Oreochromis niloticus: one gene and its partners. The main gene of each other region encodes a partner of the protein of the gene in region 4 in a complex. Links are inferred from orthologs where the notes say so. Each region holds a gene or a part of one and is shown on either strand. Other genes may lie near its edges. The genes, in order: timm17b, timm17a, timm21 and timm23a.

Region 1 (7,594 bases), on a different chromosome or scaffold from region 4:
ACAGATATCTGCTGGCTATAGTGGAAGCATTGGTTGTTGTCCTGAGAGGTCGGTCTGCTGACTTAAATCTGACAACCAGACTTCCCAGATTGGGGATTAATTTGATTCTTTTTCCTTTTTGGTTATTAGCAAACATAAATGTCAGAATCTGCTGGCTCTATTCCTGAGTGCTGCCTAGTTGGTATTACTGTAGAATTTCTTCAATGAATGACCCAGCGTTTCTTTTTTCTTTTCTTGTGGCAGATGTGAAGCAGGACATGCTGGAAACTATTGTCCCAAAAAGTGAACATGATTCTGTAATGGTGGTACTGGGTGAGCACAAGGGAAAGGTGAGCAAAGTAACCTCACTGCTTTACATATATATATGTATTTGTTTAAATCTGATTAGCTGTTACTGATCACTATTTTCCCACCTGATTCAGGTTGGCCGTATTCTTCAGCGGGACAAGAACAAGTGCAGAGCGATGGTCCAGCTCGACAGATACGAGGATAAAGTGTTCACATTAGACTATGACTCCATTTGTCACTATGTTGGGGCAGCAGCAGACCACTGATTTCGGATGTTTACTGTAATATTCACTGTCCTTTTTCCATCCACTTCATCCCAGCTGTTTTATTTTTTTTCATTATTCAAGTATTATGGACTTTAAAAGATTTCAATTTTGTAATAAAAACTTGTCAAGATTTTTTTTTCCTTGTACATATGGCAATGCAACAATTGAGAAAAAGCTGCAACAGATCATTTTCACAGTAGTCTTAAGTTTATTATCATGTTCACTGATAGGTCTAGTAACAATGAGAAGTGAACCTTTGGGTCATATAAAAACATATTTACAAATGCTCTACACGGCAGGAGTATGAATAGAGTAGCTGTCCAAAAAGTTCAGCCTTTCATTTCTGACATGTACACATTTCACAATGAAACAAAAGCCTGTCAAACTATGATGTTTAGCATGTGAGCATAATGAAGACCAACTGTAGAGTTGTGGGTTTTAAGATGCTGTCTTCATGGTATCTGCTTTTACTCCTTGGGTAGTTGGTTTGCTGCGTTAGCCCGAAGAACAGCTCCTGGACTCGGGTACGGACGCTGCTGGAAGAGAGGCCCCGCTGCTGTGGTGTCTGCACCCGTTTTTGCTTCATTGCGTTTGGGCAGCCCACTTGACCACGACCCCCTGCAAAAATGAATACGTTTGTGTTTTAACTGCATTTGTAATCAGCACTACAATGTCTTCTGTGGCTGAGAAGGGGTTTTGTCAAGCCTGAGAAAACAACCTTGATCAAATTGCAATGACAATCTCAGCTTTGTTTTAGGAATATTTTTAACAGAAACCCTGGAGGTGTAGATTTTTTTAATAGACATTTTCACAGCAGAGAATTTGGCTCATGGTGGCAGGAAAACTGCAAATGGGGTAAATTTAGTTAATGATGGCTACAGTATGTTGCATTTACAGCAACAATAAGACTGACTGCACATACAAGGGGTATGGAACTAGCGTGCTGAAGTAGTATGGAGCCATTCTTTAAGTTGTTTTTATACCTGTGCTTTCTCTGACATGCCAAGCCAAAATGCTCTTTAAAAAAATAAAGTGTATGGCCCCTTCCCAGTGTTCACACGTTCCCACTCTGAGGGCTGAGAGCTCATAAGGATATGAGGCCTTTCTACAAGTCTTTATTTTATGCTTAAGGGAATAAGTGAGTTGTGATAAAAGCTGGTCAAATTTGGTCAAATATTAAGGAAATGTGCTACAATCCTGTATATATTTTCCTCTTTAGCAGAGCATCTTTTATGAAAATGGGAGGAAACCTAATCCAGTTCACTATGAACATTATGCTACTGCAATAAAATCTGCCTCTTGTTGAGGTATTGTGCCTTGCATGAAATGTAGATTTATGTGAGCTCCGTAAACCAGGGATATCAACTTTGCTGATTACCATTTTGAATTTTGAGGGGACACACTCGAACACTGTAGCTGTGCTGTGTGAGGGTTTAGTTCTTTCGTCTAAGATAAAAATGTATGATGGGAATTGATTTGATCTGTCTCTCATAACTATTTTTTCAACAAGTGCAACACAATGATTCTGGCAAAATCGGAGTACCAGAGAACGACCCGTATATAGCTTATATCAAGGTGACCATCTGTACTGTACCTTGGAGCATCAGAGTAAGCACTTGGATCCATGGGGTCCATCTCGTCATCTTTTCTACCTGTAAAAAATATTAGGTGTTCAATATTTAATCATGTGAAAGGCGCCGATGTGTAAACATGTAATGAATCAGATGTAAACATTACCTTTTTTGCTTCGACTGTATGGTGCTGCCTCATCTCTTCTCTGCTTTCTTCTGTCTCTGTCCCTCCCATCATCACGCTCTCTGTCTCTGTCCCGGTCCCTTTCCCTGTCCCTTTCCCGATCTCGATCCCTTTCCCGATCCCGGTCTCTGTGTCGTTCTCTGTCCCTGTCTCTGTCTGGTTTCTCAACTTGCTTCTCGCCTTTTTCATCTCCTCCTTCTACTAAAAACACAAGTTAAGGCAAGGATCACAAGATTAGCCATGGCTGAAATCTGTCAAAAGCAAACTGTATTCTGAGATTGTACATGCAAAGTAACACACGTCTACTGTAAGAGGACTGAAATTGTGATCATTAGTGCCTCTTGAAAACATTACATTATAGAGGCTGAATAAAAGCATACCTCTTATTTTCTTGGCAGGTTTTGTTATTACTGCAGTTGGGTCATTTGGGGATAACCAGGCAACCATATCTGTCTCGACATTCCAGTAATAAGGTAGACCACTGTGTAAGGAAAATAAAACATTAGTGATTAATATTGTAACCACAAAATTAAATAAAACTTACTTAACAGTTTAAAAATACACTTTAGCTCTCCATGACAGTAGTTATAATGTTCAAGGAGAATTTGACTTCTCAAGAATAAAATGAGAAACAAGAAAGAAAAAGTAATTAGCGCATTCTGATTGTGAAGTTTATAATAATCATTTTGAATTAAAGTATAAAATTCTTATTATATTAAATTATAGTATATTAAGTGTACATACCAAGCAGAGTCAAACACTTTGTACCAGTTTGGTGGTAGATTCTCCACTCTGGTGGCTTCATAATCTACATTGTTGTCATCATAATCTTCAGCAATAATCTCCTCATCTGCCCCTGGATTAATTGAAGGGGAAAAGGTTTTTAAACAGCACAAAACATTAGGAGAAATCCATGAAGGACAGAGACCCAAATATGAAATCTGTTATACTACCTTGCTCTGTTGGTTTAACAATCCCTCTCTTGGCCAATCGGGCCAGCAGTGCTGGAGGTAAAGGCATCCTGAAAGACGGAGTCCATGTGAAACACTGTTCATATTACGGCTGAAATTCACTTGGGGTACCAAAATAACAGTTGCAGAACAAATGCTCATAACACATTATTACACAGTATTAAAATAGTCTTAGATTGGTCATAAATCAGATAATATAATACATATCATTTACTTTCAATAATATGTACCCTTTGATTAATTAGGACATATAGAAACTCATCACTTACACACAAACCACTGAGTCACATGTGGCCATAAAGTAAAATGCACATGATTACCACCATTATATAGTTTAGTGATCTTTAATATAAGCACATTTTGTAACAGTTTCATTACTTTAATGGGTTATTTTATATATTAGACACAAAATTGCAAGTCTGTTAATTTTGTTTTTTTTTAATCATCATTAAGTTTAATATTTTTGGTCCACTATTCATCTCACACTTTACTGAACACTTGGTTTTGAAACAGTTCCCATATTTACCTGTTTTTTATTCTTCATCTTCTTCTTATTATTATCATTATTTTGTTTTGTCCATTTTCTCTGAGGACATTTCTTGTTTTCTGATAAGCGGAGATTATGCCTTTACTGTAATAATTCTATCAACAGCAGCTTTAACACTGCCCAGAACCACATTTTTGCAGCAGACTTGTCACGTCTGTAGACCATCATTTCCTGCAATACATTACAGCTGGCTGTTTTGATGTCGATATCACAATGATATCCATGAATTGTAGTTTAAAGCATGCATCCTGGTAGGTCTTAGAATGACTAAACTCCTGAACTGTTATGTGTCCTGTCATCATTTAAAGTAATCCTCTGCTCATAAAACTTAAAGTAACTTCACAATCCTAATAAATAAATCAGTTTCTTAGGTTATATGGCCATCCTACGTGAATTCCAGGTAAAACTTTACTAGCTCCTTGTCTTATATGTATGTCCATATATGTATTTACATATATACACATACATATATATATATATATGTTTTCTTTGTAATAATTTGTACCATGTACAATACGAAATGTTTCCTTTAACAAGAAACTAACACGCTTGCGGTGCATCCGTGGCTGCAGATGTAAGAATAACGCAATAAACCAAACTATGCGTCTCCAAAAAGCATCCACACCACACAAACACAAATGTTAACCTTTACTTCAAAAGACTGAACAATAAGAAATAATTAAATTCTTACCTTTTTTTAAAAAAAAGGTGGCCCTTTTTTATCGTCAAGCTAACGATACCTCTTTCCAAAACAGCATACACGGCGCGCTTAATGATGACGTAATCACGTCCTCTTGACGAAGACGACGACGTAAACAGACATGGAGGAGTATGCCCGAGAGCCCTGGTAAGATTAGAATTTAAGCGTTTGTTTTTATTTTAGAACTAATTAAGTTGGAGTCAAGTGTTGACTTTTTAATTTCATACTCAGTTTTGATGTGAGAGTGAGCAGAAAGGCTCTGTGGGTGTTGCGGCCTGCTTATTTAAGGCATATAAAAAAGATAAAGCTGTTATATGGAGGCGCCCTCTGCACACACAATAAGCTGGTAGAGTCACCTTTATCTGAAAATGTCGCTGTTTTTAAGTGACAGCTGGAGTTAGGATAGAAATTAAAAATAGTGGGTATTTTAATCTCAAAATATGGTTCCAAACAGGCAGTACATGAAGCTTTATTTATTTATTTATCAAGTTAAGACACACCTCCAGTCAAGGTTGATCCCCTACAAGTCAAACTTTAATGACAGAGTTCAAAGGAACGGGATAAAGAATCCAGATATCAGCCACTTCATTAGGCATACCCGTCCACCTACTTATTAATGTAAACCTACATTCTGTCACTTGGCAACAACTTAGTGCATTTAGACATATGGACATGGTCATGACGCATTGCTGAAGTTCAGGCTGGAGAAGTTCAAACATTTGATTTTTATTGATTTTGAACATCACATGATTGTTTTTGCCAGAATGGCCGATCTTTTCAATATTTTCGAAAATGTTTAACTACAGCCTTTTCCCCACAAAATAATTTCTAGGGTTTTATAGAGAACAGCGTGAAAAAGAGAAAATATCCAGTGAGCAACAGTTATATGGTTGAAAAAGCCTTGTTGATGTCAGAGATCAGATGAGAGTGGTCAGACTGCTTTGAACTGAAGGCAGCAGTAACTCAAATAACCACTCCTTACAACTGAAGTGTGCAGTATAGCATCTCTGAATGGACAACATATCAAACCTGGGCTATGGCAGGAGAATACTAAATTGTCACTTCCCTTCTCCCCACCTCATTAGTTCTTTCACTGCTGTTTGACATATTCATTTATGATGTTTGATATGTTTTCTAACACAAACATAACTCAGAGGTGAGTATTTAGTTATATTTAAGGAGCTAGTTCTTCATCCTTGGGTAATATACATTTCTCGGCCAGAACTGTGCCCATATTGTCTTCGGCGTCATCCAGACCCCGATAGATAACTTCTGCATTTTGTATATGTACTGGATGTTAGTTGTCAGATATATCCCCATTGTCAGTTTTCCTGTCACATAAATATCCATTTCTCTCTTAACCCAGCCCCTGGAGGATAGTGGATGACTGTGGAGGTGCTTTCACAATGGGTGCAATTGGAGGAGGGGTGTTCCAGGCGGTCAAGGGCTTTCGAAATGCCCCTGCTGTGAGTTCAAAACACAGGTTTTTGTTTGTTCTCTGGCTTGTCAGGTTGTTAAAGGCAGAATTCAACTGAGCTCTAATATTTCAGGGTGTCGGACACCGGCTGAAAGGGAGTGCAAAAGCAGTGAGAGTTAGAGCTCCACAGATTGGAGGTAAGGAGTTCCTGTTTTTTGTTACACATGGCAGTTAGTTAGTAATATACCATTTTTTGTGTAGATTAAATTGTTTAGGTACAGTTAGCTTCATACAAGTAGCTGAAGTCTGGTTACTTCTTATGTTGCAGGTAGCTTTGCTGTATGGGGAGGGCTCTTTTCCACAATCGACTGTGGTTTGGTTCGTCTGAGAGGGAAAGAGGATCCTTGGAACTCTATAACCAGTGGTGCGCTGACTGGAGCCATCCTAGCAGCACGCAGTAAGGAGCTCATTAGCTCAAAAGAAACAAGACACCACTGTGTCTCTCTGTGTCAGTAAATACAGCCCCAATTCTGAAAAAGTTGGCACGCTGTGTAAAATGTAAACAAAATTCCAATTTTTTTTACAATTGGGTTTCTACATTGGGATAATTAGTGTGACTCGCTGAATATTGCATTTTTCTTCAGGTGGACCTCTAACAATGATGGGCTCTGCAATGATGGGGGGGATTTTGCTCGCTCTCATTGAGGGTTTTGGGATTCTCCTAACCAGATACACAGCGCAGCAGTTTCAGAACCGTGAGTGAAGTTAATTATGTTTCAGAAATGATATTTAAACTGCACAGAACCAATGGTTTATCAGTAGTTTAGCAAAATGTCACATGATTAAATGTGTGAGTGGTTTTATACCCCTGTACTGGCGTCCACTCCTCAGTTATGGCTGGACTTCGGCATAGGGCAACATTTTTCATCTCACTGGTCCCATTTTTACTCACCCTCACCACACTCGTAGCATTTTTTGTTTCTATCAAAATGTTTTAAAGAACCTGAGGAAAATCGTCCACTCTCTCAAGGTTCTTGTGCAGTTTAATTTGTGTTTCCTGTTTGATTAATTTTTCCCAAGAACACAATTTCTCACAATGTTAATGATATAACAACTTATAAAAAATGCTGAAGAATGTGAGACTATTAAAATAGTTTTTTTAGTGTTACTGTGAATAACCAGTCAAATGTATGAGCATCAGGTTTCCTCCAGCACGGCTCAAGTTAGATAACCTGCTGAGACATATCTTATTTTGGATGAGATGAGCCGAGGGAAGGCTACCAAACCAAAAAGCCTGAAAGCACAGCAGACCTAGACAGTAGTAATATTCATATAAATGTTCCTGAGGGAAACATAGATTATATCTTGATTACATGCCAGTGAAGCATGAAAAACTGACTTTGTTGTGTCTTCTTCCTTGATTTCTCCAGCAATTCCCTTTGCAGACGACCCTAGTCAGTTACCGCCAAAGGATGGAGATCATCAACATCAGGGGCAAAGGGGGCAGTTTCAGTAGAGAAGGTTCAGGACTGAAGCCAGCTGTGGACAACTGAAAGGATAATAGGAATGCCAGCACATGAACAGCATCTACCAGGATGACCAAGAGGTGGAGATACTGGTCCCTACTGGATGCTAATACATACCTCAGGG
Region 2 (7,203 bases), on a different chromosome or scaffold from region 4:
TCCCTCGCACTTTTACTAAACCGCAGTCAATCATGGAGAAGAGGCCTCCCCATACTGCGAAGCTACCTGCAACACGCCAAAGAAAAGATTTGCATCAGCTGAAGTTATCAGTGAAGATACGCTTGTCACTTTGTTAAGCAATCACCCACGTCACATATTTACACAAGTGACTTCTACCACTAACACACTTCAACAGCAAATAAAGTATTAAAAATTCTGTACACAGATTATGCCTTCGGGCTCCAATAGCAGCTTATTTAATTAAAGGATAATTACTTTAATATACGGAGCTGAAATATTTCCCAAGATTAACTTGTCACCATCGGAACTGCAGACGATGTACAACATGCTGCTGACTACAGCCCATGCTCTTTACAAAGGAAGAGAAATGACCTTTGAAACAGTTCGGCAATTGTTCTTACCCCCGAGCTGTGGGGCTCTGGTCTTGATAGCAGTTAAGCTACCCCTCATTCTGTGGCTCATCCCCTACATAAAAAAGAGAGACAAAAAACATGCATCAGTGGAAATTCACTGTCAGGTCAGGATTTCTGAGACCAAAGATTTAGAATTTTCAGATTATGATTGATAACATAAGTTGAAAAGAAAATGGTGCGTCTTCGAAATTCAGGTTGGGTTAAAAAGAAAATTTCCTGTTTACAGGGACAGAAACACTGCTTCATCATCAAGTGTTTTTGAGTGTGACACCGACCCCAAGGACAGTACCTTGAATGTCAGCTTTGACTGAGACCAGAAAACAGTCCTTGAACTTACCGAGGGTGCATTTCTGAAGCCTTTCACTGCCTGAAATATTCCTCCTCCAATAGCTCCCATGGTGAAAGCTCCCCCACAGTCATCCACAATCCTCCAGGGGCTAAAAGCAGAACACAGACATTTTAGTTTGCTTAAGTTAATAATGTCATGACATTTGAGATCTCTCATTGCATGTTCATAACAATCTCTTAATGTTCCCTGTAAGTCTAAATTAATCCAAAGGTAAAGGAAGAAGAACTAGTTTATTACTGGTAATATGACAATAAGATATAGGTCATCTGAATATCAACATTCGTAAAATCTAACTATACACACACAGACTTGGCCTTTGAGAGGGAGACCGATGTAACAGTGAAGCTGTGAAGAGTAGTCAGATGAGTTTAAATACATCCAAAAGCAACCAACAGTGCACAAGAGAAGTGAAGAAGAGATTCGGCAGGGCGGTGGTGATGGAGACTAGTGTCAGGGCTGATTTATGACAGCAAGAGTGAAAGGGAAGGTTTACAAAAGAATAGTAGTGAGACCTGCCGAGATGTATGATGTGCAGACAGTGGCACTAACAAAAAGACAGGAGGCTGAGATGAAGATGTTAAGATTGGCAGTGAACTAAGAGACAATGGACAGGATTAGAAATGAGTATTATAGCGAAAGCTCAGTTTAAACAGAAACTAAGTTTGAGAGGCAAGGCTGAGATGGTCTGAACATGTGCTGTGGACGGTTAGTGTGTACATACATACATACATTATATATGTGTACACACACACACACACATTTGACCAAAAAAAAAAAAAAAAAAAAAAAAAAAAAAAAAGAGATGCTGAATACAGACCTGCCAGACATGAGCAAAAGCGGAAGCCCTCAGAGGGGCAACGTAGTGGAGGAGGGCATGCAGAGGGTTGGTGTGACAGAAAACGATGCTAGGGATAGGGCGAGATGGAGGCAGACGAAGAAAAACACAGACACGCACACAAACACACAGGGTCACTCTCTGTGTCCTATTTTAATGACAACCTCTGACCCAGTGTAAAACATGAAGCATTACGTTTCAACACAAGGTCTGAGCAGTGAGGATTATACTTCACATGACCGCATCTCAAATTTAAACAAACACACTGCACGTTTACTTTTCACACACGACTTTATTAGAACAGGTTTACATAGTTAGATGGTTGCATTCTATGTAATATGACTTCTGGTCAAAATCAGGAAAATGTAATCGTTTATGTATGTAAAACTGGATTCTCCATTTTAGTCATAGCCATTCGTTTATGTTAAACAGATGCATTACATCTTAAATCACGAAAAGAACATTTTGCAGTGATACTGAAGGACAGTAACCTTGTGTCCCGTGTTTTTGACCATTAGTATCCGATCTTAAATTGTTATTCAAAGCTGGCCAAAATAATAAAAACATAAGTGGGAGAAAAACAGCGAACCAGGCCAACCTTTAACTTTTAAAAAGTTTATTTAGTTCACGGTTGTTATAAATTAAACCTAAACCAAAATAAGCATACACGAGGGCAGCCACCGGGAAAAAGTGTATGTAATTGTAAAAACATTTATTTTAAATCCTCAGTGACGTTGTTAAAAGTTCATAAACTATTTGAACAGGACATGTCTCAAGCTAGCTGGCGTCATAAGGCTGCAGTCTAGATAGCGCACAAGTAGCTAATCCAGCTAGCTTACTTGTGCGCCAAAGCAAAATAATACTAAAACAACTACTCCAACTTTTCCCGAATGGCTACCAGTATGCGTTTACAATAGATGTTATATGCCTTTTTTAAGCACCGGTTTGTGGGGTCAGTAAATTTAAAGCAATGACATGTGGCAATAAAACCGACAAGGTCACAACGTGACTTAGCCGTCCCGACGCAGTGCTCGCTCAAACTACCTTCACTTGTGTATGCGAAGTTAGCATTTCTGCTAACGACAGCTAGCCGGCCGGTTTCGAGGTGTTTCGGTCGTGTCACGTGATATAAAATAAAAAACATTAAACACAACTAACATGGCATGTATTCAAAACGCAGCCCACTGCAGTACACGCTGAAACAGTGCGGAAAACGGGATTAATTTTAATTTTAGGACTCACCATGGCTCTCTGGCATACTCCTCCATTTTGTTCTTTGCTGTTCCGCCTGACGTAACGATTATCAAACACCTGACGTAACGACACTATAGAGACAACGTCATGTCTTAAAGGAACAGAGCATGCAGGGGTGAAGGACGAGCTTCAGGCTGCCGTCCTGAGAGTTTATTAAAGTTATTACAGCCTATTTCGTAAAGCTATCCATAGAAATACCAAAAAATCTTGTAAAGAATGGTGTAAAGTAAAAAAGCAGAACTGTTCAATCACTATAGACTTATATTATACTTGAGTATTTTTAATTCGATGCTGTTTTCTCTTTTTTAACTGATATTGAAGCATCTAGATATTTATTTTGTCTGTTTATTTTGTTTTTATTTTGTCTATATCTTTCTTTCTATTCTATTCTGAATCAGCTTTTACTTAAGTAAAATTTGCTTAAGCCGCTTCAGATCAACTCTGCTGAGAATCATTAAAGCGATGACTGGGACTTCCAGTCAATCAATCAGTCAATTAAAACAGATTATTATGGATTTTAAAATCTTATTTGGTTTTCATATGTACCTATTTTCAGTGATATCAACTTTGATAGCAGGAAATGAACTAGGCATATAATTCTTTTCTTTCTCTCTTTTTTGCTATATTTTTCAAGTAACCTGTATTTGACAACAGTATAATAAAACTCAAAATTCAGTTTTTTTGTGTGCCACGCCAATGTTTTTAGTCCCCCCTGCCCCCATTGGCCAGCTTTTTAATTATCAAATAAGGGATACTCTGGCTTACCAGAAGCAAAGTGCACAACCAACTGGGTATAGTGTAAATATGCACTGTATGTGACATTGCAGGTAACGGTCTATATACGTGACATTTAAAGTGGAATAAGGGACAAACTAATTTTGCTTATTATACAGGATGTCCCGACTAAAACGGGACAGATGGCAACCCTACCCCCATATGGTCACCCCTATGAAAAAAATCTGTAGACGCCCCTGAAAACAGGTTCCTCAAAGGCAGGCAGATGTAACTAAAAACATAGCTTTTATTAAAGGTTGTTGCTGAAATCCAGAAATGCAAAAGTCAATGAGAAGACGCAAACTGAATCTAACAGCAGACAGGGAAAACATACAACATGACCATGGAATTCAAAATGCAAAGTTCAATGGAGTCAGGACTAGTTATACACATGGAAGGTAATCAGGGGAATCAGAAACATGAGTGTAATGAGACACTGTCCAACCAAATCAAGAAACAGGAAGTTAAACTAATTGCAAGAGACGAGATACAAAAGACTACCAAAATAAAAGAGGAATGAATAACTGAAATACTGAGTCAACCTAAGAACGCACTGAAGGGACTAAATAACTCAGTGGATACAGACTGTGATACTTAAACATAACAGGAACAGAAAGTGCAGCATAACAACACAAAACCTACACAATTAGAAACAATAAACCAGAGCACATAAAAATAAAAATAAACCCCACCTGGCTGCTGCCATCATTAATGGTGTAATAATTCACAGTTTGTTGTGAACAATTCAGTGGGGTATGAATCTTATTATAGATGTATTAAGCAATCCTTTGTAAGCAACACAAAATAAAGCTGTAAAATAATAAAAGGCAAAGATGGCACATTGTACTTGAGATGTTTGCTGATTCACATCGATAAGCAACATGAAGCAAATTAAAGGACAGCCAGACATGTATATGAGAGTTTTGACATTTCTATCAACAGAAGCAACGTCACACTGATCGCATAAAGCCTTATTTACAGCAACAAAGCTTAAAAAACAGGTAGAAAAACAATAGAACACCCCGTAATAAAATCTTTTTTTTTTTACATGTTCTGCAACACAAATAGAAATCTTCATAGCAAAATAACCACACTCTGCTGTGCTCCTAGTGTTTTCTTAGTAATAGCAATGCAATGTACTTAGAGGCCTTCTGATGGCACTGAAAACCAGTAATCTCAACATTTCATTCCTTCTCCTCTTTTTCTTCCTTCTGAGACTATTGGTCAGAGTAGCAGCTACAGCTAAAAGACAGAAGGCTGGCTCGCTGCCCATTATTAGGAACGAGAAAGGAATGACTTACAGAGCAAGCCCTCATTGAGAAATGACCAAATATAGGCATTTTGTGGATGCAGAGACTGAGGCAAGGCTGCAGAGAGATAAACTGGCCTGCTGCTGCTGCTCTCTTTTTTCTCTGGATGATGGCTACCTTTCCAGCTGGTGGGTGGACACTAGACAGCTCCCAATGTTTCCACGTAGCTTTAAACACATTATGTAAAGAGCAACAGATAGAAGAAAAGTTCTTCGTGGTCCACTGCAGAAGCACAGATATACATGCTACGAAAACATCCGCTAGTTGATATAATGTTTTTTGTCTGGTAAAGGTTCTGCCTTGTAGTTTTTTTTAAATTAATCCATCAAGAAATGCAGATACATAATAAATTTAAAAAATCTGAATCCATGGTTATTTCAGTAGTTAAACTATGAGACACGAGAGGCCTCCTGCTTTCCTGGAAAGGTATTTTTTAGCATATGGACACCGCAAGTTTCCACCTTACCCTAAGTAAGTTATTGGACCCCAGCTAGCCACAAAAATCATAGTGATGTCGTAAAATCCTGATGTGAGTACAAGCCATTGCATTTTTGAATGTATATACAGCTGTGGTCAGAAGCTTCCATACACTCATCATAGGCATGAATGTGATGACCATTTGGGGCTCATAAGGATTTCTTCGAGCTGCTCCTTTTCCAGGGTGGAAGCATCGTACAGCATACGTCTTTATTTACTTTAAAATGCAAGAATTGTGTTTGAATTTATTTGTAATTTTTTCTAATCCACACAGGGTCAAAATTATACACACAGGCCAAAAACAGACACAGACTAAAACCTTTTAATAAGTGCTGCTGAAGGTTTTAAAGTGTCTTTTAACTCGACAAGGCCGAGGTCTATTTGCTTCTTGCCAATGATCATGAGAGATTACGATTGGTAGTTCCTCTTTGTCTCCATAAAAAGCATCTGTTTGACAGCAACCACTGAATTCCCCAATACTCTGAATAATGGGAAAGTCCAACGAACTCAATGAAGTTCAGGAGAATTGTAGATTTATACAAGTTGGGAACGTTTCATGGAACCATTTCTAAACATGCCATCACCATTGACTGAGAGGGTCCCTGATCCAAAATCTACACCTTAAACCACAACTGAAATTTGCTGCTGACCCCATGGACAAACCAAATGCCTTCTGGAGAAAAGTTTTATGGTCAGACAAGACAAAGATTGAACTATTGTGGTACACTGACGAGAGTTATATTTTAAAGAGTAGAGGTGACCCTTTCAAACCAAAGACATCTGTACCAACTGTGAAGCATGGTGGCAGTGGTACTGGTACATTGCACAAAGTGGATGGACAAATGAAGAAGGAGGACTATCTCCAATTTCCTGAATTTCACCTCAAATTAGGAGCCAAAAAGCTGAAACTTGGACAAAGTAGGTTCTTTTAACAAGGCAATACTTCTAAACAGACAGAAAAACAAATAAAAGGCCAAACCTCAATCCTTTTGAAAATTGTGGGCAATGTTTAAAAGGCAGGTCTGTGCCAGGAAACCAACCAATTTAAATAAAATCTACCAATTCTACCAGTATTAGTCAAATATCCAGCTGGAAGCTTGCTGATGACTACCAAATGTGTTAAGGGACATTTAACCAAGTATTATTGAGGTATAAGTATATATTTGAGGCTCTATGTATAATTTTGACCCCGTGCAGACTTTGGAAAAATTAAAACTTGTGTACCCAGTTCTTATTTTTCAAAGAAATTAAAGCTGTGTGCTGTACAATCATTGCAATATGGATAAAGAACAGTTCGAAGAAATCATTAAAAGCCTGAAACATGCCCATGATCAGTGATGTAAACGTCTGAGCACATCTATATTCATACAAATATAATCATATGCACATATATATAGAATTAATGACATTATCATATACATAATTTGATTTATTGTAGCTAAAAATTATAATATAATAACAGATTATTAAAACATTCCAATCACTTCTATCAGGCAGGTATCATTAAACTTGCAAACATAGCAGAATCTTTTATTGAAAACATACAGGCTCTGTAAGAAAAACGTGTAATAATGTATGTGCTTCATTACAACACTCGGGTTTTTGCTAATCACATTAAATTTCCTTTAGAACTGATATTCACTTTTAAATAGCACATTAACCAACAGTAGTGTTGATTTAATGGTGTTTCTGACATTTTGATGTAAAACCCAGGCTAGAATGATTCTGCACAAAACACAACATCAGACGCTGAAACTTATCTTCCTGCAC
Region 3 (7,574 bases), on a different chromosome or scaffold from region 4:
AAAATCCAGAGGCCTGAGATGACAACATGCCAGAAGAAAAACCAAAAATGAAAAAGAAGCGCAAATGGTTTTTGAGACTATTCACTTAATTGACTTCAACTCCGTCTCCTATAAAATCACAGTAATATACAACTAAATATTAACAGTTACTTCAAGTAATTTGTTTTTTTATCGGCTCCAACCCCCCCCAACCGGTCGTGGCAGATGGCCGCCCCTCCCTGAACCTTTTTAAAGGTAGTTTTTCCTCCCCACTGTCGCCATGTGCTTGCTCATAGGGGATTGTTGGGTTTTTTTCTTGAATTCAGTTCAGTTCAATTCATTTGTATGTAAATACTGTTGAATTGAATTGAACTCAATTAAAGAAGATTTTTAGGAGACGGCGTCTCTGAGTGAACCAGGTTATTATAACATCTTACCCATAAAAAGTTACGAGTGACCAATCAAATAAAAAATTGGATTTACCAAAACATCTGAAGTGTGAACATTTAATTTTGTCTCATTTAAAACATATTAAAATGTCAAATTACTACAATCATAATAATAACAACATAATAACAGCAGAAATAAAAATGTTTACATCCTTTTTGAAAACATTGTTCTGTGAATGATATCCACTGCATTTGTGCTGTTGATGCCTTTTGAAAGCATTCCTAATAGCATCTATCAAGCAATATGCCTTGCTCAATGGTTCATGGAAGCATGAACAGTTTTGGTAACTGGCTTTGTAAATTGAAATTCTACAGCTTTATACTAGTAAACGCTTGTGCTACATGCGGAAGACAGGTATAGTCAGCTGAGTATCCAGCCATTATTATGAAAGTTTTCTCTTTGGCGTCCACAAATGCAACAGCTCATAACAAAATGGTGCAAACACAGGTGAATCCACGTAAATATACTTTTCATATCTGAAAGTCCTGAAGAGAACAGTGTTATGTAAAAAAGTAGCAAATTAGTTTTTGGTTGAAAATTTCTTTGTTGTAACAATGATTTGGGGCAATAAATCTTACACCATTGGAAAACCTGTTTATTTCCCTTTCAATGGTGACACGGTGGCCTGCTTTCCATCGCTGTAAGAGTTTTAGTGACACGATCCAAAGTGGCCTTTGTGACACTGGTGGAGAGTATGATCAAACTCTGGGAGGCCATGTTCAAGAGGGGGCGAGGAGGAAGCTCCCAGAAGCCCTGTAAGATGCGGGGAACTACCTCTATCACCTCTTGCAGTGAGCAGTTTGGAGCTATGCCGTACCTGCTGCTTCTCTTTAAGAATCTCAACGTAATTTCTCACCATGCTGAGGAGTTTAGTTGTTCTGTAGAAAAATTTTATAAGAATGATCTTTTAAACATGTGTAAAGCATCACAGAAACTGTAGCTGGACTGTTAATAATTGTCAGATGTAACTCACTGAAATTTAGGAGGTATGGACTCTGGAAATGTGGTTCTGGAAAATTTTATTAATGGCATTTACTGCCCACACCTGAAACAGAAAACACATTTACAGTGCAGTTTTGTTTAGATGTTATGTGAACAAAATAAATAAACCTCCAAGTTACTACAAGTCTTGTGAGTTTTCTAGTCTCACTAGTTTCAGAAGAGGTTTGGCTTCTTTGTCTCCAAAATCCCCCAATTCAAACTCCCAAAGCCTTCAAAAGAAAATAAACAGAGGTTTTCTCTCAGCATTTACACTTCATCACAAACAGACTGTCATGTTTGAGGTGGATGGTCAGTATCACAGTTACTCACTGCTCTCTGAGTGTCTGTTTGCTCTTCTCCACCAAAAAATCTCTTAGGTCTTCAGCAGTGATGTGTGATGGGATTTTGCTTTCCTGCTGAAGTCTGAGGAACTCCATCATCATTGCAATCTAAAAATAAAAGGAGACATTTAAACATCACCACTCTCAGGTCCTGAGAAATCACCTGATATTTTACATCAGCTTTGGTTTGGATGGATCTCAGTCTTACCTGAGCCCTGTAGCCCAGAAGATGCCAGCAGATCTTCACAGCCATGTCGTAAATGTGTGTTTGACAGGTGTTGTTCGACATGAACAGCACCTGTCAAAGAAATAAGAAGTTACTGATTGTTACTTAAGTTTATTCTCAGTCTGTCAGCTTTTAAAACTACATCAAATTCTTTAAACTGCTAAAATGCAGAAGGAAAAAAAACTGTCACATACCCTGATGGGTTTGTAGATTCCTCTACTTGCTTCAATTGAAATGTTGTTGTTGAATCACAGTCGGGAACAAAAACTGTCAAATACCATCCAAATTGCGTAAATTGTGTAATGTGAAATGCAGAAAGAAAAAACTCTGAACTCAATGGTTTCTCTTGTACAGATGAGCTATTTTTAAAGTCTGATTAAATTAAATTAAAGTCCGATTTATTTTTATTTTATTTATTTAATGCAGAATTCTAGAACGGTCTCCATGGAAATACTTTATGCAAGTTAAAGGAAAACACTTTATCTACATTACACTAAACTTTATTTATCATATAAGTAGATAAGTGTAGGCTACAGGTGTCCTTAAGTCACTCCTGTGAAAAGATGCATACAAGCTGGTGAATCAGAAAAGACAGAAAGTCACCCTGCAGCATCGTCTTTTTATATTATTTGCCTGCTTATCTCCATTTTCTTACTGTAGATGTGAACATGAGCAGCAAAACAATGGTGGAGGGGACTAATGCATAAATTTGAAGGCTGACAGGATGTAAACTGGCCCTTTAAACAGTCCAGAGGGAGAGACCTCTGTGTAAAGCACAACAACAACAATAATAATAATAATAATAATAATAATAATACCCTAAATAATGAGGTCATTAATTACTAGGATACCTACTGCCATGTTTTCTTAGTTACTGATGTTTAGAGAGGCCACCTTTGTTATGGTTCACAGGAGTTCAGGAGTGAGTGATGAAAGTGATGCTACATTAGGGTCTGTCTCTGGACTGGTGGTTTGCTGCTCTATGAGTTCAGCAGGAGGAGTTGAACCCACAGCGGTTCCCTGGTGGGTAGGAAGATCATACTTCAGGTTCAATATTATAGTTACGTTCTTGATGGTCTGAACCTCAGACAGGAACTGGTCAGGACAACTGACTCAGATTTTTCAAGTTCTGCTACAGAGAGAGAACTAAGACAGCAACACCTACACCTCCTGACCACACAATGTTAATGATTTGTCTTCTCAGTGTTGCCATAATATTTTCGGTTGCTAAATACAGCTAAAAGCAGAAAATTCATTGTTGAAAAATCAATACTAAAGTGCTACATTTTGACAAGTTACCCCAAAAAGTCTACAAAGGTTATTTTCTGTCCACCAAAGTAAATATGATTCAAGAGATTTTTGTAACTTCACTTGTCCAAAAAGCAAATAAAGAGATTAAACAAAGATATACTGAATGACAGTCAGCATTACCAGAGTTAGCAGAGCTACTGTAGCTTGGTTTATAGACTTGAATTAGGAGGGATAAGAAAAGTGAATTCACTTGACTGGAATCTGCAATCTACTGACATCTAATGGTGAGATTTTACAAGCTCTAACTTTAATGATACTTGAACATAGGCCAGGCACGGCATTGCTCTTGCCGAGCCTGTTCAGCCAGCAACACATCTGTGTAATATGTGAATAAAATCAAAACCTGTTCCAATCAAATTTCCCAGTAGAGGTTTTGACCTTTTGTATTGTACTTCTAATTTCTGAAAAATTACTCTAAAGCTTCTTCTAATGCTCCAGAGTCTATTTGGACCATTTGGACATGACAACCATTAACTGAAGTATGAAATTACGTCAGAGCGCATGGAGTCAGAAGTAAATTGCAGTAGATTTTGTCAGTGTCTGTGGCACATAAATTCAACTTACCTCCAAAACTGACAAATACATTCATAATTAGCACACTTCCCATTGTGTGAAGACTGTAGCAAAACGTCTAAAAAAACGTCTAAAAGGGTCTAAAAAAAACCTATTAAAAACTAATTTACCTGCTCATTTGATGTCCCTCTTACATGGTAATTCACTCACTTGCTGAAACTCACACACAGACACACACACAGCAGATGTTTTGCAGATTTTTTTTTTTAATTTGAGATTCTTATGTTTAGACCTTTAAAAAACATAATTCCACTCTTAAAGTGATTTAAAGAATATGAGATTTCAATATTAATTCAGATTTTTTCTGACTCTAAATTTTCTTTGGTCATTACTCAGTTGTTTTTTTTTTCTAATGTACATTTTGAAGATGTTCAGTTACTTTCCAACTTTGAAACTTCGCCGTCTGTGTGAACTTCAGCTTTCAACAGTTCAGCACTTTGGTTTATAGGTGAATGATTTGGTGTATGTCAGTTAAATTTAACAAGGTTCCCAAATATTTCTTATACTGCAATTTCTTCAGGAAATGCATTCTCTAGTTGTAACTGTAAATTTTTTCTTAAAGATTTTTTTTTATCACCTGACTATTCAGCCGATTTCGGACTTTTTATTTTATTTTGTTGAAGACGTTTTTGCTGTAGACGATGATGACGAGCGAGTGACGTTTCACTGCTGCTCTGTCGCTTTAACGGTGAGTGACGGCAATATTGTGCGCCGGTGAAGCACAAATCCGGCGACTGACTTGACCCAGTCCTGTTGCCCAGTGTTTTGGAGTAGTTTAGTGCTGTGAGCTGTGAATTCATGTATACTAAGTCCGTTTTGTTTACTTAAACCACACAGTAGGCTGGTTAGTGTAGTTTTGCGATATTAGGAAGGGGCTTGCTCAAATCAAATCATGGCTTATATTCAGGTTTTGAAGGTCCTGCACCGAAATCTGCAGCACAGAGCACCACAGGTCAGAGTGCTTATCCAGACGCACAGGAGAGTGTCAACATTATCAAGACTGGCCTTACACAGTGGACTAGAGGCTAATTCGCCTGTGCTAAGCTGCTTAATACAAACACACAGACGGCGGGGTATTTGTCTCGACTTTACAGCCAGAAATAAAAGCAGCCCCGAGGACCGAGACAGGTCAGTGTCCAAGTACCAGAGTGGGAGTCCAAAGCCTTCAGCTGCACAAAAAGGTATGCAAGGCAAGGAAATAAAAAGGATTTAAGTCGTGCTAATATATGTACTCAGATATTAGCAGCGTAGTTTCATGATAGCCTGCTATTTTCAAAGCATACCATTAGGCTTTGTTCGCAGGCACTGTGGAGAAAATATAGTATATTTAACCAAGCAGTGATTTATCCCACTGCAGCAGCAGTTTTGGGACTAAAAAATACACGATTATTGTATTTATAGCTTATATCTGGAAATTAATCGCTCTGATTATCACCAGCAGCAGAGGAAATATCTTAAAATGGCCCAGGAGTTTATTTACTGAATAACTGAACAAACACTTGCCTTAATTAGTGAGACTCTAACTTTGCTCATTTAAATGAAAACTATGCACAGCTGTTGCATAATAACCCTCAACACTGAATGCCTTCCAGTGAAAGAAGCTGGCAGGGACTTCACCTACCTGATCGTGGTACTCATCGGGCTTGGAGTGACAGGTGAATACAGTGGAATTTAAAAGCTGCAGTCATAACCCAGGCAATTCATCATCCTGTTTGAAATGACGTCTGTGTGTGTTTTCAGGTGGGCTGCTGTATGTGGTGTTCCAAGAGCTGTTTTCATCCGCGAGTCCAAATAAAGTGTATGGAAGAGCCTTCGATAAAGTCAAGTCACACCCAGAAGTACGAGCGATATTAGTGACTGTCAAACATGAGGCCAGGCTGACAATGTTACAGTTCGGTATTTAAGGTCCTCTTGATGATCTTATGAGGTCATATAAAAAGTTTCTTGTTTATTGAAAATGTAGGTGATTGGTGCATTTGGTGAGCCAATCAAATGTTACGGGGAGACCACCCGTCGAGGAAGGAGGCAGCAAGTCAGGTTGGTGTTTTGTTAATTTGTCAAACAAGTTCAGCAACAAAGCCCACTTTTATTTAAGGTAGCCTTAACATCTATAATGGCAGTCTTTGTCTCTTCTCCTCAGTCATATCGAGTACCTGAAGGATGGAATGAAGCATATGAGACTTAAGTTTTACATTGAGGGCTCGGAGCCGGGAGTGAAGGGGACAGTGCATACAGAGTCTAAAGAGGTTGGTATTCTGCCATTCAAAAGCCAGCTTATGAAATACATACATGCACAAGCACTGATTGACACTTCTGCGGTGAATGTTTTGTGTCTTTTCACTAGCACCTACTCAGCTCGACTCTGCTCTATTCAGTTTCGGTCATTTTCAATCATATTTGAGTACCACCTCGATGTAGGTGGGGTCACTGTAGCAAGGCGACCTGGAAGTCCCATGGCGTTATTTGTATGTGACACAAACACAATGCAAAAAATGGAGATGTGAACCAGCACTGCACTCATCACTCCAGGTTTTGGCATCACTAAATAGGGAGAGCATAATTAGCCAGCCACCCTGCCACTGCCCTCGAGCCCACTGCACCACCCCTCCACACACCTCCTTCACAGGAGGGCATCAAGCCAATTGTTTACCTGCTACCAAACTGACGCTAAAACTCTGGATCTCATCATTGGACCACGCTGTTGGTTTGTGTTCTTATGAAGGAGTTGCTCTCATGACTCACCCAGTGATGTCACTCGCTGCTCAATCAGTGGCTTGCGGTCTATTGATGTCATATTTTCAGCTTGACTCAGCTCGCTTGGAAATCCAGACTAGTAGGTACTCAAAAAGTACCTAGTAACAAGTACTACCAACTAATAGAAAATTGAGTAATTTTCAAATTGAGATAAGCCGAGTAGGTCCTAGTGGAAAAGATGCTTTTGTGGGGCCTACAATGTAACCTACCTATCGTAGGCTCGTTGTTGCCAGCGTTTATGCTTGTGCGGGTGTATTACGGGTAAATTTATGTTGATGTTGTAATTATTATTCCCCATATTGAGGCAGTGATTGTTATTCTCTCACAGTTAAATTGAAAAGCCGTTGCAAAAAAAGTAGCCAAAAATGCACAGAAGAAATCGGCTGTAATGGACAGACCAATCACAGTGGTTGCGGGCTGTGACATGTAGTTAGATTCATGTGCATGTCAGGTTATGTCATAGTTTCAGAGGATTTTGCAGTTACAAAACGGCTTCGATGGGTAGATTTCACACTGAAGCATAAATCCCCAGTAAGTGGCACTGTGTGTATTCCTAAATCTTCACCTAGTTTCATATGTGATGGCCATCACATCGCTGATGTTTTTATATGTGTTTAATCAACCAGTCTTCTTGTTGTTGATTTTACAGAATCCTGAAACTGGAAAATATGAGTTTCGTTATATATTTGTGGACATGGACGTCTACCCAAGACGGACCATTATTGTGGAAGATAACAGATAAGGACCATAAGACGTGTGATTCAGCGTTATGGAAGCATGAGGAGTGTGTGTCAGATGTGCTGCTGGACAGAAAAGCTGGAGAATTTGCCTTCACATACTGTCAGAGGCTGTTAAACAATTACAGCTTTGGTGTAGAGCCTTGCAAAGCAGAGATCAAAGGATCACGTGGCCCCATGCTACTAATTTATAAATGTTTGTTTTTTGACTAGATTGTGATC
Region 4 (7,271 bases):
GGGTGGGGAAAAAACCCAAGCTGATACTTAAAGACAAAAAGCAGGGAAAAGGGCCAAAACATGTTTTTCCCACTTCTCCTTTTTTTCTTCTTCCTGTGTTCTGGCTCTCTGTCTTCCTCTGTTATTTAAGTGGACATTGCACACATTGATGTGTGTAATAAGAGAGAAGAAAACACCCAGCTCACCATGGTTTCTCACAGGCATGCACATGTATAACAGAAAAAAAATAAAAGTGGGGGGGGGGGGGGGCGTGGGTTTCAGGTTTGGAGGACGAGATGGCTGGGGAATTGAAGGGAAATTGATTGTGCAAGCTCGCCCTTAAACATCTGCAGAGTAAATATTCCACATGATCACGGTCCGTCCCTGAAGCCCCAGAAAACCACAGCTAATAACCCACATGCTGTGTGTCATGGTAGCTATTGCTTGTTTTCATTTAAACAGAGAAATTCGAGCCTGTCGACACCTGTAGTTTAAAAAGTTCTTTTTAAAACTGCAGATTTAAAGTTTCTCACACGCAAAAAAAAAAAAGCAAAAAAAAAAGAATCACATGAGGGTTTTTTCTGTGGTGAATGAACCCGTGGGTGGCTCATTCGCCCTCTCCCTGCCCTTCCTGCTTTCATTGTGGAGTCGGGGGGGGGGGGGTTGATATTGAACTTCAGGCTTGGAGTTGAGCCTGCACTGTGGAGGCAACCCCACTGATCACAGAGAGAGAGAGGGGACATAATGTGACCACTGCTGACAATCCTCTGGACAGGAAGAAGCAGAGTGGAAGCACTGAGTGGACATAGCAAGAGAGAAAAAAGAGAAGAGAGAATGTGTGTGTGTGGATAGAGATGGGTGGGGGTGCGTGCATGTCTGGATGGGTGTGTACCCTTGTCTTCATTTTTCCTGTTTTCACTTGAGTTTTTGTGCTTTTTTTTCATTCTTGTTCTCTGGTATGAAACACTCTTTAAGCATCTGGTAATGTATTCTGCAGTCAGCGCTCCCCATTGCCAACACTGGGGCCCAGGGCTCCCAGAGCTTACAATCAAAGTGTGTTAGTGTGTGCATGTGTGTGTGGGAGAAAATGAGCAAAAAGTGAGAAGGAAAGACAGGTTGATTTACATTGCTATGTATGCACAGCATTCTCCACATAATGAACAGCCCCTGATTTCCTCTGCTTGGTAAATATTTGATGACTGAGCGGTGGAATGATTTTAGCTGAAATTCAGAGGACTCCTACAAGCTGCTTAAAAGTTGTATTTCAAATCCCTCTCTCTCTTTCTCTCTTGTCCTCTTCCCATGTAAATAAGGCCAACTCCCCCTAACTCCACACACCCTTCTGAGGCAGTTTAAAGACCCAACACTGTCTCCTTGTATCCTTGGCAACCAGCATACACTGGGGTCCTGTCGTGGCCTCTCTGTCTTTTGTGTTTGGGAGCTCAGAGAGACAGAAAGAAAGAGAGAGAGGGAGAGTAAGAAGAGAGGAGAGGAAGGAGACGAAAACAAGACTTACTGAAAAAGACAACAAAGATGACATCACCGCTATTTTATCCCACAACTGAAAATTTGGTTTGTAGCCCAACGGTGATGAGAATGATGATTATGATGATGAGTAGCCAGAGGCACAAAATGGGTAGCAGCTCAATCTGAGAGAGAGAGAGGGGGGGGGAGGAGAGAGAGAGGGGCCCAGGGCTGAATGGGGCATTGTGGGAAAGACAGTGGGCACACTGGGCAGTAACACAGAGAACACTAACTCACAGATCATGCCAGAGAGTCTGAAAACACCCACACTGGGCGACAATGGCAAACTTCATCGCTCCACTTGGCCCCCTCTGAATACACACATACAATGGCAGAATCCAAATAAGATGCTCTGTTATTCGTGAAATTCAACACACTACATTCCTTCAGTGCCTCCATCCCTTTGGACAGCAGCAGATGGCCTGGTCCGAGCTGCACTGAACGTGCACGTCATGTGTTGCATCACAGGTAGGGCACCCAGCTGGCCTGAAAGGTGTGACAGGTGTCACGTGGAAGTTGTTTTACCTCCCCGGCTCTGCTTCCCTGCTTCAAGTAAATGCAAATGGCGTCATGCAAATTTAACTTGTATGTGCCACCACTGGGAACAAATTTAACTTAATCAGTTAATTAAATCAAGCCTAATTAGAGCGAGGACCGAGAAGGACCAGAACCAGCAGGTTTGACCCTCTGCAACTGGTTTCATCTATACGGTGGGCTCTCTGCTGCCACCCTGTGTCGAATGTGAGGAATTGCACCTCTTACTCGAGAAATATTTGCAATAAACCGAACAGGTAAGGAGATAAAAGACAGGAAAATAAAAAACCCACAGCATGCGTCAGCAGGAGAGCTGAATTCGTTATCTGACTGAATGACTAGTTCCAAGAAAGGTACGACAATGAGTCTTGATGGGGATTTTTTTTTTTTCACAATTTCACAAACTTCTGATAGAAGGATTAGATTAGAAATAAAATAAGTAAAAGTTGCAGTAACGCCACAGAGATCTATGAGAATTAAATAATGATTAATAATCATGGGGTTATCTGTTGTACTAATTTGTTTTATTGCACCATATGTCAAACATCTGAAATTCATCTGCTTCATCTGGATGTTATCAGTCCACTCAATGGATGTGAGTCTCAGACAATGAGGCCTACTGATTGGATTTTTAAGACGTTTCAGTTTTTATACCCATTAAATAAAATGAAGTGTGTAGTGAGTATTTTGTACATAAAATAATTGTTGGTATATTTGTAATTAAAGTATTTTTGAAGCTGACAATAGAAAAATCATGAGGTCAAACTTGTTTTCAAGTGCAAGAACAATATTGTAAATTTACCAGTTTATACTGTATAATCATTATTACCAGGAGAAGCAGAATTTTAAAACAGATTGTTCCTCTTTCTCTTTTTTATTATGTTTTACCATTATCGACATTTTCATATAATTACTTTTACTTACATGGAATATATTCTTGTACCACCAATGCAATTTCTATCTTAAAAACATTCTATATCTGCTTTTATTATGCAAGGAATCGTGAGGCTGCAGAACAATATGGATTTATCCCAGCCAATCAGCAAAGATCAGGCTATGTGACAGATAATGACATTATTGCATGCAATCAATCAACAGTGACCTGGGGCATTTCACACCTCTGCGTTCTTTCAGGAAATTGGGTTTTTCTACCCCTACCTACTCTCACACCCGCGGTCATAACATTGAAACTAACAGCGGTAAGTTGTTCTATTTTTTGTGGCATAAAAAAGGTAGCACCATATTTGATCACAGGCCCTGTTCACCTGAAACTAGTGCAAGTAATGGTAAGAACATTTTTTGACATACACTGGATGGATCTGTGAACCGTACTTATTTCGTATTACAGACATTTTCAGGCTATAATAATTAAATATGAGTAATTTTATGGGTTTTTTTGCTTTGTTTTTGTTTTTGTTTTGTTTTGTTTTTTTACCTTTTAGCAGTTTTTATTATACTTAAATTGCATACATTGGTGTTTATTTTCCCTGTTAGTCTTATTACTGCTAAAAACGATATAGTAATTCAATATTTGTGATTTATTTTGATTTTGATTTCATTACAAATCAAGTCAATATTTTATCATTTTGTTTTTGGTAGATCTTTTTTTTCTTTTTTCTTTTTGCAGTGGTCTACTTGGCTCTTGTATGGAAGCTTACCCATTCAGTACTATGCAAGAGAATAACATAACATATTTGGGTTTATACAAAACTGTGTGAATGAACTTACATTAACTTAAATCTTTGAAGAAATGTATAAATAATTTGCCAAATTATCTTACTTGAGATTACAACAGCTTCACCAAGTACCATGAAGCAGGTGGCTGTGACTGGTGATATGCAGGTTTGTGTGTAAATATATAGCATAATAACCACATTGTCTTATTGGATACTACTACCTTACAGTAGTTTCACAAAGTATCATAAAGCCTGTCACTGGTACATGTAATATTCTGATTCATCAGAATATTACATATATTATTATATTATATGATCTCTATAGGGTTGAAATTCTGAATTTCCATACCCTATAAAGGGTTAAATGGATCTCGTGTCCACAGTTACCCTGCAGTCAGTTTTTTTACGCTCTGCCTGGTCCTCAAGTTTGCCCTTTAGTTAAGTCAACAGATCCCAGATCCGTTGAACTGTCGTAAAACCGTGGTTTTATTAACGATATCAGAAAGATTTTTTAGTCGACTTATCACTAATAGATAAGCAATAGTACGAACTTTTGGTGTTAAAAACAAGTCTGAGCCGATGTTTTCTCTCATTTTTCACAAGTTACTGTGGGTTTTGTTGACGTAACGACAGTGCAGCACCGGTCATCGCTTTACGGCGGAGCGTGCTGCTGGAGGTCAGAGGCATGACGATAACGCGAGATTGGTAATATCGAAGCAAAAAGACGTAATTTTCGCTCTAAAAATCCAGCAAGACCAACAAATACGACCTGTGTTGACGTTTCCTTCTGGCAGTAGTGAATTCAGGAGCTCGTCTGATATACGTTTGTCTAATAGCTTGAGGGTTTCGACATATCTTGCTAACGTTAGCCAGTCGGCTACTGTAGCAACTCCCCTTCAGCCTCCTGTTTGACTCTCGGAACATTTATCCAAGCATGGATAACAACTCACAAGGATCGGGGGGAGTTAAAGCAGGCCTGGGGAGTCTTTTTGGAGGGGGTGCACCTCAATACTCCAACACAGAGCTTGCAGGTGTCCCACGTAAGTGTCATGCAATCTAACTGTGATGCTAGTTACTATTACATTACTTAGGTGTTGCTGTACTGTCATTCAGTATCTGAAAAATCAACTCAGTGGATAATTGATCGTTTACATTACAGTGACTGGAATGAGCCCTTTGTCCCCTTATCTCAACGTGGACCCACGTTATCTGGTTCAGGTAAAGCTGAGTCTGTCTCCTTTTCTTTGCTGTGAGTGAGAATGTTTTGGATTTTTTTTTTTTCCAGGCATGAGTATTTGAATCTTGTGTTTTAGGACACAGATGAATTCATCTTACCTACAGGGGCCAATAAGACAAGAGGAAGATTTGAATTGGCTTTCTTTACCATCGGAGGCTCCTGCATGACTGGTAAGAAACTGGTACACTGACAAAACGGGTTTAGTGCTGAATATGACTTGGAAGCATGTGCAAATTAAAGTACTGTATAGTACAGACTAAGTAGAAGTATGTTGATGTCCTTGTTTTGTCTGTCCAATTCATCTACATTTTTTCCTGTTGAGAGCGACAGCTGTGGTCAGAAGATTACATAAAGGTGGAATGATTGCACTGCATACATCTTTAATGAAAAACAAGATTGAATTTATTTTTGACAGAGTCTAAATTACACATAGAGGCTCAAATATAATATACCAACTATTATTTGGTTAGCAAGTTCCACCTTGATCAGATGCTTTTGGTTTCCGTCAATAAGCTTCTGGCATAACTGTGGCTGGACATTTGATGACACTTCTTGGCAGAAATGATAGTTTATTTGTTGTTTCCCGCATGGACCTGGCTTTTAAGCAGAGTCTGTAACTTTGGAACATATTCATGTTCCATTCACGGATATGTTCATATGGGTAACTGCAAATTTAAGTCGAGCTTGAAGGTTTTTGGAGCAGGGGATCTTTCATGGTTGGCACTTTCTCAGCCCATGGTAATGTAAAACTGGCTTTTACATTGAATTTGACTTATGGACAGTGAGGCTGGTGTTTTGGTTTCCAGTTCATGGTAGGCTTGAGCCTTGGTGGTTCCTAGGTTGCTCCTGAACGTGCTAACCAATTTCCTGTCATAAGGGTGACAGTTTTGGTCATCTTCCAAACCTTATGTTCAGCTATGTTTAAAAAAAACAAAAACCAAAAACACAAGAGACAGACATAAAGTGTGGGTATAGAAACACAAATGCAACAAGAACACACACACAGTTAATGGCATATAAATCTGTCAATGTTATTTATTAAAACCAAAGCATGATGCAGGTGGAATAGTGTGAAATAATCCTTTGACTGACCCTTTGTTGACCTTTTCTGCATCCTTGTTTGAAATGCAGGGGCGACATTTGGGGCATTAAATGGCCTTAGAATGGGTTTGAAGGAGACCAGAGACATGGCATGGTCCAAACCACGTAACGTACAGTAAGTTTGGTTACAGAATTCAGTTTATCGAATGGTTTTACGCTTGGATTTGGGTTGCACGTTGTTCAAATGTTTATCTTCCCTCCCCAGGATTCTCAACATGGTGACAAGGCAGGGCGCTTCATGGGCCAACACTCTGGGCTCTATTGGTAAAGCTTTATTGTTACTTAAAAAAATGATGTAGAGGTGTTACTGTAACAAGAATATCTATGAATCCCATGGTTGGAAGATCTTAGTGTTACTGATTTAAATGGATGGATGTATTTACAGGATTTTTAGTTTTCTAATTCAGTATATAATCATAATTTAATTATTTTGTTTTTCTTTATGTCACTGCAGCCTTGCTGTATAGTGCTTTTGGTGTTGTGATAGAGAAAGCCAGAGGAGCAGAAGACGACATCAACACAGTGGCTGCTGGGACATTAACGGGGATGCTCTTTAAATCTGGCGGTTGGTGTCTTTTCCTTTTTTCTGCTTCTACTTTATATCTGGCATTAATGTATATTAATGTACCTCTGTGTGTTTTTAACCTTTTAAATATTAGTTTTTACCAATAAATGATCCAAACATTAGTTTTAGCAAATATCAGGCTGTCAGCAAGCAAAATGGCATTTACCAATGTTGGTGTTCATCAGTTATTTGTCATTTATTTTGCTCTGCAGTTTGATAAAGACTGAAAATTTCTTTGGTTCTTGTTTACAAAATGGGTGACAACATAAACAAAGTAAACACAAACATGTATGGAAATGCTCAGTTTTTTAGTTAAGCCTTGCCAGTACAGACTTGGACCCCAAGTCTGTACTGGCAAGCTGCCTTAATTGTTGCCTTAATTGTTCATGGCATCGATTCAGCAACGTGCTGGAGATTTTGGTCCACACTGACATGATAGCATCACAAAGTTGCTGTGCATTTGTCAGCTGCGCTTCCATGATGACTCACCACTTAGGTGGTCTGTTGGATTGAGATCTGGTGACTGTTGCCATTCAGCTGGCAGATTAGACAGTTGCGTTAACAAGCAGGTGAGCAGGTGTACTAAATAAAAGGGCCAGTGGCTGTTTTAAGTTGTCAGTTAGCAGACTTTTAAAATCCTATTAAAATGATAGTT

What was found.
Region 1: timm23a (region 4) and timm17b share a complex: the UniProt entries of both Homo sapiens proteins name them as parts of the TIM23 complex. The link is inferred for Oreochromis niloticus from reciprocal best matches to the Homo sapiens genes TIMM23 and TIMM17B.
Region 2: timm23a (region 4) and timm17a share a complex: the UniProt entries of both Homo sapiens proteins name them as parts of the TIM23 complex. The link is inferred for Oreochromis niloticus from reciprocal best matches to the Homo sapiens genes TIMM23 and TIMM17A.
Region 3: timm23a (region 4) and timm21 share a complex: the UniProt entries of both Homo sapiens proteins name them as parts of the TIM23 complex. The link is inferred for Oreochromis niloticus from reciprocal best matches to the Homo sapiens genes TIMM23 and TIMM21.

Annotation. Positions count from the first base shown.
Region 1 is NC_031984.2:10,675,422-10,683,015, reverse strand, and holds the start of timm17b (mitochondrial import inner membrane translocase subunit Tim17-B), read left to right. Parts: upstream 1-4,588; 5' UTR 4,589-4,648; coding exon 4,649-4,674; intron 4,675-5,893; coding exon 5,894-5,993; intron 5,994-6,077; coding exon 6,078-6,141; intron 6,142-6,272; coding exon 6,273-6,401; intron 6,402-6,588; coding exon 6,589-6,699; intron 6,700-7,374; coding exon 7,375-7,460; 3' UTR 7,461-7,594. Other genes in the region: gpkow (G-patch domain and KOW motifs-containing protein), read left to right, coding at 244-329, 423-554; pqbp1 (polyglutamine-binding protein 1), read right to left, coding at 1,022-1,172, 2,149-2,206, 2,292-2,510, 2,690-2,790, 3,054-3,165, 3,263-3,329. UniProt on the Homo sapiens protein: Essential component of the TIM23 complex, a complex that mediates the translocation of transit peptide-containing proteins across the mitochondrial inner membrane.
Region 2 is NC_031970.2:6,728,655-6,735,857, reverse strand, and holds the start of timm17a (mitochondrial import inner membrane translocase subunit Tim17-A), read right to left. Parts: upstream 3,007-7,203; 5' UTR 2,887-3,006; coding exon 2,861-2,886; intron 1,739-2,860; exon of another isoform or gene 1,612-1,738; coding exon of another isoform or gene 1,601-1,611; intron 872-1,600; coding exon 772-871; intron 487-771; coding exon 423-486; intron 67-422; coding exon 1-66. UniProt on the Homo sapiens protein: Essential component of the TIM23 complex, a complex that mediates the translocation of transit peptide-containing proteins across the mitochondrial inner membrane.
Region 3 is NC_031974.2:20,962,523-20,970,096, forward strand, and holds the start of timm21 (mitochondrial import inner membrane translocase subunit Tim21), read left to right. Parts: upstream 1-4,559; 5' UTR 4,560-4,753; coding exon 4,754-5,042; intron 5,043-5,453; coding exon 5,454-5,516; intron 5,517-5,601; coding exon 5,602-5,699; intron 5,700-5,824; coding exon 5,825-5,898; intron 5,899-6,001; coding exon 6,002-6,107; intron 6,108-7,264; coding exon 7,265-7,357; 3' UTR 7,358-7,574. UniProt on the Homo sapiens protein: Participates in the translocation of transit peptide-containing proteins across the mitochondrial inner membrane.
Region 4 is NC_031973.2:8,934,316-8,941,586, forward strand, and holds the start of timm23a (mitochondrial import inner membrane translocase subunit Tim23), read left to right. Parts: upstream 1-4,263; 5' UTR 4,264-4,647; coding exon 4,648-4,753; intron 4,754-4,872; coding exon 4,873-4,931; intron 4,932-5,026; coding exon 5,027-5,120; intron 5,121-6,081; coding exon 6,082-6,166; intron 6,167-6,256; coding exon 6,257-6,315; intron 6,316-6,505; coding exon 6,506-6,616; intron 6,617-7,271. UniProt on the Homo sapiens protein: Essential component of the TIM23 complex, a complex that mediates the translocation of transit peptide-containing proteins across the mitochondrial inner membrane.